2 linked regions of the Saccharomyces cerevisiae S288C genome follow. Changing the gene in region 2 together with the main gene of any one other region gives a genetic interaction. Each region holds a gene or a part of one and is shown on either strand. Other genes may lie near its edges.

What was found. A genetic interaction does not mean that the proteins touch.
Region 1: mutations in ICP55 (region 2) and MAS1 impair growth when combined (synthetic growth defect), as found in Saccharomyces cerevisiae (one study listed by BioGRID).

The regions. Positions count from the first base shown.
Region 1 is NC_001144.5:490,886-495,236, forward strand, and holds MAS1 (mitochondrial processing peptidase), read right to left. Parts: upstream 2,370-4,351; coding exon 981-2,369; downstream 1-980. Other genes in the region: protein SHH4, read left to right, coding at 2,998-3,504; pseudouridine synthase PUS5, read right to left, coding at 3,609-4,351. UniProt on the Saccharomyces cerevisiae protein: Catalytic subunit of the essential mitochondrial processing protease (MPP), which cleaves the mitochondrial sequence off newly imported precursors proteins. Preferentially, cleaves after an arginine at position P2.
Region 2 is NC_001137.3:316,307-320,313, reverse strand, and holds ICP55 (aminopeptidase), read left to right. Parts: upstream 1-1,971; coding exon 1,972-3,507; downstream 3,508-4,007. Other genes in the region: AIM9 (Aim9p), read right to left, coding at 1-351; YER079W (uncharacterized protein), read right to left, coding at 762-1,394; YER078W-A (uncharacterized protein), read right to left, coding at 1,504-1,668; MRX1 (Mrx1p), read left to right, coding at 3,714-4,007. UniProt on the Saccharomyces cerevisiae protein: Aminopeptidase which cleaves preprotein intermediates that carry destabilizing N-ter amino acid residues after the mitochondrial processing peptidase (MPP) cleavage site and is thus critical for stabilization of the mitochondrial proteome.

The sequences.
Region 1 (4,351 bases), on a different chromosome or scaffold from region 2:
CTGGAAGGTCATCATTATTTTTTGTTAAGTACTTTACGAATGAGAAGGTAGTTTATCAGCTTATATTTCAGGTCCGTTGACTTTTTCTGGCTACAGTTGTTTTCAACTGGTGCTGCTGCAGGATATAGGAAGTCGAAGATTTATTTTTTTGCACAGCTTAATGTTCCTGGCGAAAAAGCAGCGAAATCGAGAGGTATTTACTGCTCAGAGATATGAAGAGGTAGGTACATATTCATTGGCAGATATTCTACAATGCAATTATTATGACCAATCACACAGTATTGTGCTGACCTCCATTGAGCGATGACTAAAAAAACTTTTAGTAGCACGTTTATTATTGCTTTCCCTTGCTGCTATAAGGGAAAATTCAGTAAATAATACCGAAGATATAATGGTGTTTATCAGATCAGTGTGATGTGTTCAGCTAAATGGAAAGCTACAGATGCTATCTGATCGAGATATTGCAAGAAAAGGTCTCACAGTATTTTTTTCACGTGCTTTTTTTTCAAGGCAATGACCAATATGAAACGATCGATGAGCATAGTAAACAGTATTATCTGGATAATTCTGTATGCAATGGTAACGGATAACTTAAAATCTTTATGTTAAGTATATACAATTGCATCACTTTTTTTTTTTTGGCTTGTGGCTTATATTAACAAATTTATTGTGCATTTTTTGCAATCTGAAGGGCTGCTTTAATATTGAATACGGGAAGGGCCCTTTCACACCCCACTATAAGTGCAGTTTTAGGAAGAAAGTATTAATGTATCCTTCAAAAAAGAAAATACACGTGCTGTTAATATACCGACATCGTGTTTTGGGGAATGGGTACTAGAGCCGCCGATATCTATTCATATTTTTTATGTAGCAACATCTCATTTGAACAAGAATTTATTGACATAGAACTTTATACAAGTATGAAGAGAAATTAGAAATTAGCAGAGATGTGAAATGAACTTACTAATAAATCGGCGTGGTCATTGGTTCAGTTTTTCTTCGATATAGGATACATTAGGGACAGTGGATGTATTTCCTAGGGCAACCATTGAAACTGGTTTGTTTTGTAATCTGTAATTTGCCCACATAATAATATCATCCTTAGTGATTTTATCAACCTGCTCGAAAACTTCTTCTGGTGATAATCTTTTACCTGTGGTCACCACTTGTCTGCCTATATCTTCTACAATGGCTGTCGATCCATCCAACGATAGCAACAGAGCTGCCTTTAGCTGAGCTTTTGCCCTATTCACCTCTGCATCCGATATTTTGCCAGATTTTATTCTCTTCCACTCTTTCAGGATCTCATTAACAATTAACTGCACGTTATGCTCATTAGAATCAGTTACTATGTACATTCCCCACAGACCTGAATCAGCGTAAGAGGTGGAAAATGACATATAAGAATTAGCCAAAGAACCATTTTGACTTGCTGCAACAGCTAATGGAGAGGGGGAGTTTGTACCTGTGCCAATGGCTCTGTCCCAGTTACCAACAATCGCTTGTGTTGCCAGAGCTACAAAATAATCAGGTGCAGACCATGACACGCCTTCTAATGCGATAGCAATATGTGTTGTAGGTAACGTGTTTTCTTTGATAAACCTTTCACCTCTACAAAAAACTGGTAATGGGCCCCTTGGTGATCCCAACGGGACAGGCGATTCAGATTTGGGCACATGGCCAAAGTATTTTTGAGCATACTGTACCAATTTTTCATGATCAACAGCGCCCGCACCTGCCAATACCATTCTGTCGCCTTTATAGTTCTTGGTTATATAGTCTTTCAAATCAGTTCTTGTTATTGATTTTATGTTTTTTATAGGACCCAGAATGGTTCTTCCTAAAGGTTGGTCCTTATACGTAATCTCATGAAGATGGTCAAAAACAACTTCATCATACATCTTGTCCACCTCTTCACTTTCTCTGATGATGACATCCCTTTCTCTCTCAATAGCACTATTATCTAAAACTGACTTAGTCAAAATATCACTTAGAATATCAACAGCCTTTGGGATATCTTCTTGTAGGGACTTAGCATAATAAACTGTGTTTTCTCTTGATGTATATGCATTCAAATGAGATCCGATATTTTCAATTTCCAATTCAATTCCTTGTTGTGACCTATTCTGAGTACCCTTGAAAGCCAAGTGTTCTAGAAAATGCGCTGTACCATTGTTTTTTACGTTTTCTGCCCTAGAACCAGCATCGACAAATATTCCAACAGTAGCCGAAGATGTGTTGGGGATGTACTCTGTGGCAATTGTCAACCCATTAGGAAGTTTAGAGGTTCTGGTTCCTGGAATTTGTGAGGAAATTGTACTTAAAAGCCTCCGTGTATTACGGAACTTGGATGCTGTTCTTGAAAACATTGTATGATCACCTATCACTTTGCGCACTAGTTTGATGCCTGAGAGCAAGATATCATGATTTATCCATAGCGTTCAAATTCACTTCTTATTACTAAAGAGATGAGTCCAGCTCGATTACGAATATCACTAAATACGTGAAAATAATATTGGTCATCTAATCTGTGCACTGAACAGTAGTATCACCCATTGTTGGCTGAGAAATTAAGCTCAGCATTTTAGCTTTCCTCACTACGTGTTGAGGAATTTAATACGTAAATATAGTCTTAGTAAAGCCGTGCATTTTACTTCTTAACTCCTTTGGACGGGATCAAGTTTAAGGAGAATAAAACCCTGATTCGCACCTTCAACGCGGCTCTAACATGGTACTATCAGACTCTCACATCCAGATTGGAGTACCCTTATCCGAAGTAACGATTTTTTATTACGGTTTAAGATAATAAGGGACGCGTATGATAACTAAAAATCGTCAGTTGAAGGGCGCTGGCCATAGGTATCCCTTAATTTTGACGTCGAATTTCATAGAAGCAAACCTATATATTTTCAGTCCCCAGTGGACAGACCGTTTATCAGTTCTAATGAATCAGCAACGATTCTCAAAAAGGTTGCCCCAATTCTTAGGAAAGTAGGAATGTCATCGACTAAGTTTTTGAAACCACTCTGCAGAATAAGGGCTTTTCATACTTCAATTGCCAGATCCTTTACCATTCCTTTTCTGCCAAAGATTCCACAGAAACCTGGAGGTGTGAGTGGGACCGCAAATGATTCCTCTTATATGCCGCCCGAAAGCAGAGCTCAGGGTTCGTACCATTGGATTGTCGAGCGCGGACTGTCCTTAGCGGTTCTTCCGCTGATCGCAGTTCCCTTGGTCACTACAGGCCCTATTTCCACTTTTACCGACACATTTCTTTCCTTGGTCCTGCTAGGTCATTGTCATATCGGATTTCAGTCTTGCATTATAGACTATATTTCTGAAAGAGTCTATGGAAAGGTACATCATTACGCGATGTATTTATTGAGCTTGGGCTCCTTTTTATCGTTCGTCGGTATATATAAATTAGAGAGTCAAGAAGCTGGTCTTATTGCCTCTTTAAAATCATTATGGGATAACAAACCTGTGGAAAAAAAGAGGCAGTAATCATCAATTAATCAATATGGTTTGGTTAGTGGTGACTACCTTTTTTATTCTCGTTATATATGTGTATTAGAAATAATTTAATAACCGATTATTTATTGCTTATTTTACTGGTCCCAGTTTTCCAACAGGACTTCTTTTATGGGCAAAGTGAACTCACCCTCTTCATTGACGTATTTTCTTGACCAAAGTTGGCCAGTATTATTGTGTTCCATAGGTATCAAGTGCGTTTTAGTTTGCAGGCCAATTTTCGTTATTATGCACGCTGAATGCAACGCTATTTGGTCATTGAACAACTCTGGAAAATTGACAGTGCTGCCATGTCTCTTGTCGTTTAATATGGGCTGATTTAAAATTTGAGAGACGTGATTTCGAATCTGATGTTTTTTTCCTGTAACCAATTGTAAAACAATACAATTTTCGTCAACTTCTTTGAACTTAGTAATCTCCCTACCACCATGTGAAATCAAGAAATTATATTTAGGACCATATTTAATTTCATAGTTATTTGGTTTGTTGAAACGACCGGACGACTCGACAATAGCTACATACTTTCTTTGCAACTTATAACCGTTGTTGCCGCCCTTTTGTAAAAATCTAGAGAATTTTACACTTCCGTCTTTAGTCTTTGCAATCAGCATCCCCCCCGTAACACAATGGTCTAACCTATGTACAGTACGACATAATTCTACTTCTCTATGTGAATAATAAATAGCCTTGAATCTTTCTAGTAGTGGAGTAGGGTCAAGATTAGGATGTGTCCTGCCCCATGTTCTGCAGTCTGGTGGTTGAGAAGGTATGCCAGGTGGTTTATTAACTATGAAGTAATGCGTGTTTTCAAAGATTATTG
Region 2 (4,007 bases):
CAAGTTCTTGTTAAACACTGGTGGTAAGATCTTACCGTCGGGGGCCTTAGCCATTTCATTAGATTGAATGTAGATGTCATTGAGAATGCGATTTAAACCTTCAATCGAAAACTTCGTGAATCTTTTTTCCTTTTCTTGCTTATCATTTTTAAGCCATGAGCCCCACGTATATTTGAAAAAGGCATCTCTCTTTGGATCATTGTCATTCGTTAGCTTGGTAAAAACTTCGTTTGGCTTATTGGAGATAAATCTCTTGGTGGCGGCGACGGTGATACATTTAATTGCACCCACTCTTTTCGAAGCTCCTACTACACACCTTCTGGAATGGCCAGCAACAGTGTACCTAATCATGCTTGGTCTTCGTATTGCTGTCTTGCTTGCTAAACAGCTTTTGCTACTTCTTCTTCGCTGATGAGAAAAGGGAGTCTACTAAATACAGTTCGGCTTAAAGTGTCGCTGGTCAGCAATCGGCCCGAAAATACATTGAACATTTGAAATTACCATGTTTCAAAACGAATATTTATTATAATTATTACTAGTAAAAGTTATACATAAGAAGGGAATAATACAAAGAAACGGGAAACAGCTAAATGTAGTATATAGCCGAAAGATGTGGACATATCCCAACAAATCGTCTTATGAGATCCTTTTTTTGTTTTATATTTTTTTTTTTTAGCGGGTATAAACGTATCATTTATATATTTTATTCTTTCCTTTAACTCTCAAAATTTGAGCAATTAGGTTACTGTGGTTCACGTGATTCAAGTGTGCACATTGCTGCTATGCTTTGTAGTATTATCCATAGAGTTTAGGGAGGGGGAATGGTCGGAGAGTGGGTAATTTGCATTGTCTAATGGAGCAGAATCAGCGTTACTTTTCTGGAAATAAAACTGGTCCGATAACGAAGTAGTAGAATCAGAGGTGAGATTGGAGTTGGAAGTGGTGTTGAGTTTGTAAAACTTTTCGGTTTGATCATGCGATACCTTGTATTTGTCATCCTTGTCATTCTTCTTTTTTTTGTTCTTCTTTTTGTTCTTAGGGTCTACCATATTGCTAGTCTTCGGGGTAGGAGACTTTGTTCCATTATTGTGATCATATTGTTTTCGAACCATGGAATTCAATAAATTAAGTGAATATTTCGGAATCCCATCTCTTTTGACATTAATCCCCTGAATACCATCCTTCGTGGCAATCATGGAGGCACCTGATGTGATGGAGCAACCTGAGTTCGTTCTCGTTATCCTATCTTCACCAGAGGCAATATTGGAAGGGCTCATTGATCTCTGATCTAAGTCCAGGTTAGTAGACCTGTTATTAGTGTAAATGGACTGATCATAGAGAGAGATGGCAGATGCAACATCTTTTGAGCTTATTGAATGTGATGAATCAGGCATTATTAACTATTCGCTTCCTTTTCTTATCTCAGCAGTTTGTGTTTTTTATTCTTATTGTTATTATCCCTTTTAACTATATATGCATAAGCTAAGTTAAATATTAAAATATTTATATATAAACGTTACAGGGCGTGTGAACACATTTGAAAAAATGCTGGAAGGTAATGGTAGATATAAGAATTGGAATAACAGGTTGATAGAGAATCGCCAAGCTAGAGAGTTCTGACAAGCGGCAAGGGGGAAGGATGAGACGCAGATACGAAAGCCGCACCATTAAACCGTAAAGAGAGAAAAATAAAGAATGACTTATTTCTCGGAAAGGCCAAATGCAATTATGCAACACGCACACATTCACACTCACACTCACACATAAACTTTGACTGAAACCAAAACTGTTGTGAGTAATAGCCTTTCTTGTTCATAAAATAGTACAAGATACAGTAAATATATATCAACTCACCTGGTATAGGGATCACTTACTGCACTGCAAAAGTGGATCGTTTGCGCAAGAAACTCCACCAATTCTAAAGAATATAATAGAAAAAGCTAATAGGAAAAGTGGTCATTTTCTGTTGATATGTTACATAGGATAAACCCAGTACGGTTTTCTATGCAATCTTGCCAAAGATACTTCTCGAAGTTGGTATCGCCATTGGAACAGCATAAAAGTAATACTTTTACTAATAGAGTCAGAATCCCCATTGAGGCAGGCCAACCACTGCATGAGACAAGGCCGTTCCTTATAAAGTCGGGCGAGTTGACACCAGGCATTTCAGCCTTGGAATACTATGAAAGAAGAATTAGGTTGGCGGAAACATTGCCTCCCAAAAGTTGTGTGATTTTAGCTGGTAACGATATCCAATTTGCATCTGGAGCAGTATTTTATCCGTTCCAACAGGAAAATGACCTGTTTTATCTTAGTGGTTGGAATGAACCTAATTCGGTCATGATTTTAGAAAAGCCAACGGATAGTTTAAGTGATACAATTTTCCACATGCTGGTTCCGCCAAAGGATGCGTTTGCTGAAAAGTGGGAAGGATTTAGGTCTGGGGTTTATGGTGTTCAAGAAATTTTCAATGCCGATGAATCTGCTTCCATTAACGATTTGTCTAAATATTTGCCCAAAATAATTAACAGGAATGATTTCATCTATTTTGATATGCTATCAACTTCTAATCCCAGTTCGTCCAATTTTAAACACATCAAGAGCCTGTTAGATGGCAGTGGGAATAGCAATCGATCATTGAATTCCATTGCGAATAAGACCATCAAACCCATCAGTAAAAGAATTGCAGAGTTCCGTAAGATCAAGTCCCCTCAAGAGTTGAGAATTATGAGGAGAGCTGGCCAAATATCAGGAAGATCGTTCAATCAAGCCTTTGCTAAAAGATTTAGGAATGAGAGAACTTTAGATTCCTTTCTTCATTACAAGTTTATATCCGGTGGTTGCGATAAGGACGCATATATCCCCGTGGTCGCTACTGGTTCGAATTCTTTGTGTATCCATTACACAAGAAACGATGATGTGATGTTTGACGACGAAATGGTTCTTGTAGACGCTGCTGGCTCCTTGGGTGGTTATTGTGCTGATATTTCGAGAACGTGGCCCAATAGTGGGAAATTCACTGATGCACAAAGAGATCTCTACGAAGCTGTATTAAATGTTCAGCGTGATTGCATTAAGTTATGTAAAGCTAGCAATAACTATTCCCTCCACGACATCCATGAAAAGAGTATCACACTCATGAAACAGGAATTGAAAAACTTGGGCATAGATAAAGTCTCCGGTTGGAATGTTGAAAAATTGTATCCGCACTATATTGGACACAATTTAGGTCTAGATGTTCACGATGTGCCTAAAGTTTCCAGGTACGAACCATTAAAGGTTGGACAAGTTATTACTATTGAACCGGGTTTATATATTCCTAACGAGGAATCATTTCCATCTTACTTTAGAAACGTCGGAATAAGAATTGAAGATGACATAGCCATTGGTGAAGATACTTACACTAATTTAACTGTTGAAGCAGTGAAAGAAATTGACGATTTAGAAAATGTCATGCAAAATGGCTTATCTACAAAATTCGAGGAGGACCAAGTGGCACCACTGTAATGTTATTGCTAAATTGAGTACACCCTGTATATACAGATACATAACTTATCGATTTAAGGTCTTTTAATATTAAACGGAAAATTCAAAAAAAAAAAAATTTACTGAAAATATCTTGAGATACTTTTCTTCAGCTTTCTTTTTGTTTTTTTCCTCTTCTTCTTGGGCACTGCTCTTTAGTTTTTATTTTTAGTTACGGCAAAATAAAGATGGGTCTAAAAATTACAAAAGGACAGCTGAGAACCAAGGATCTGAATCAATCATCCTCAAAGTCATCGCAGTCTTCAAGAATAGGTGTAGACACTTGTATATTTACTAGAATGCTACCCCGAATAAACACTGCAATTAATCTCACAGAGCATCTGCTGAGAAGATCTTTTCATTCACTGACAAATCTACAGAAAACTCAAGTAAAAGAAAGACTACATGAGCTAGAACGTCACGGTTTCATATTAAATAAAACATCCAAACAATTGGAAAGGATAAATTCTAAGAAAAGAAGA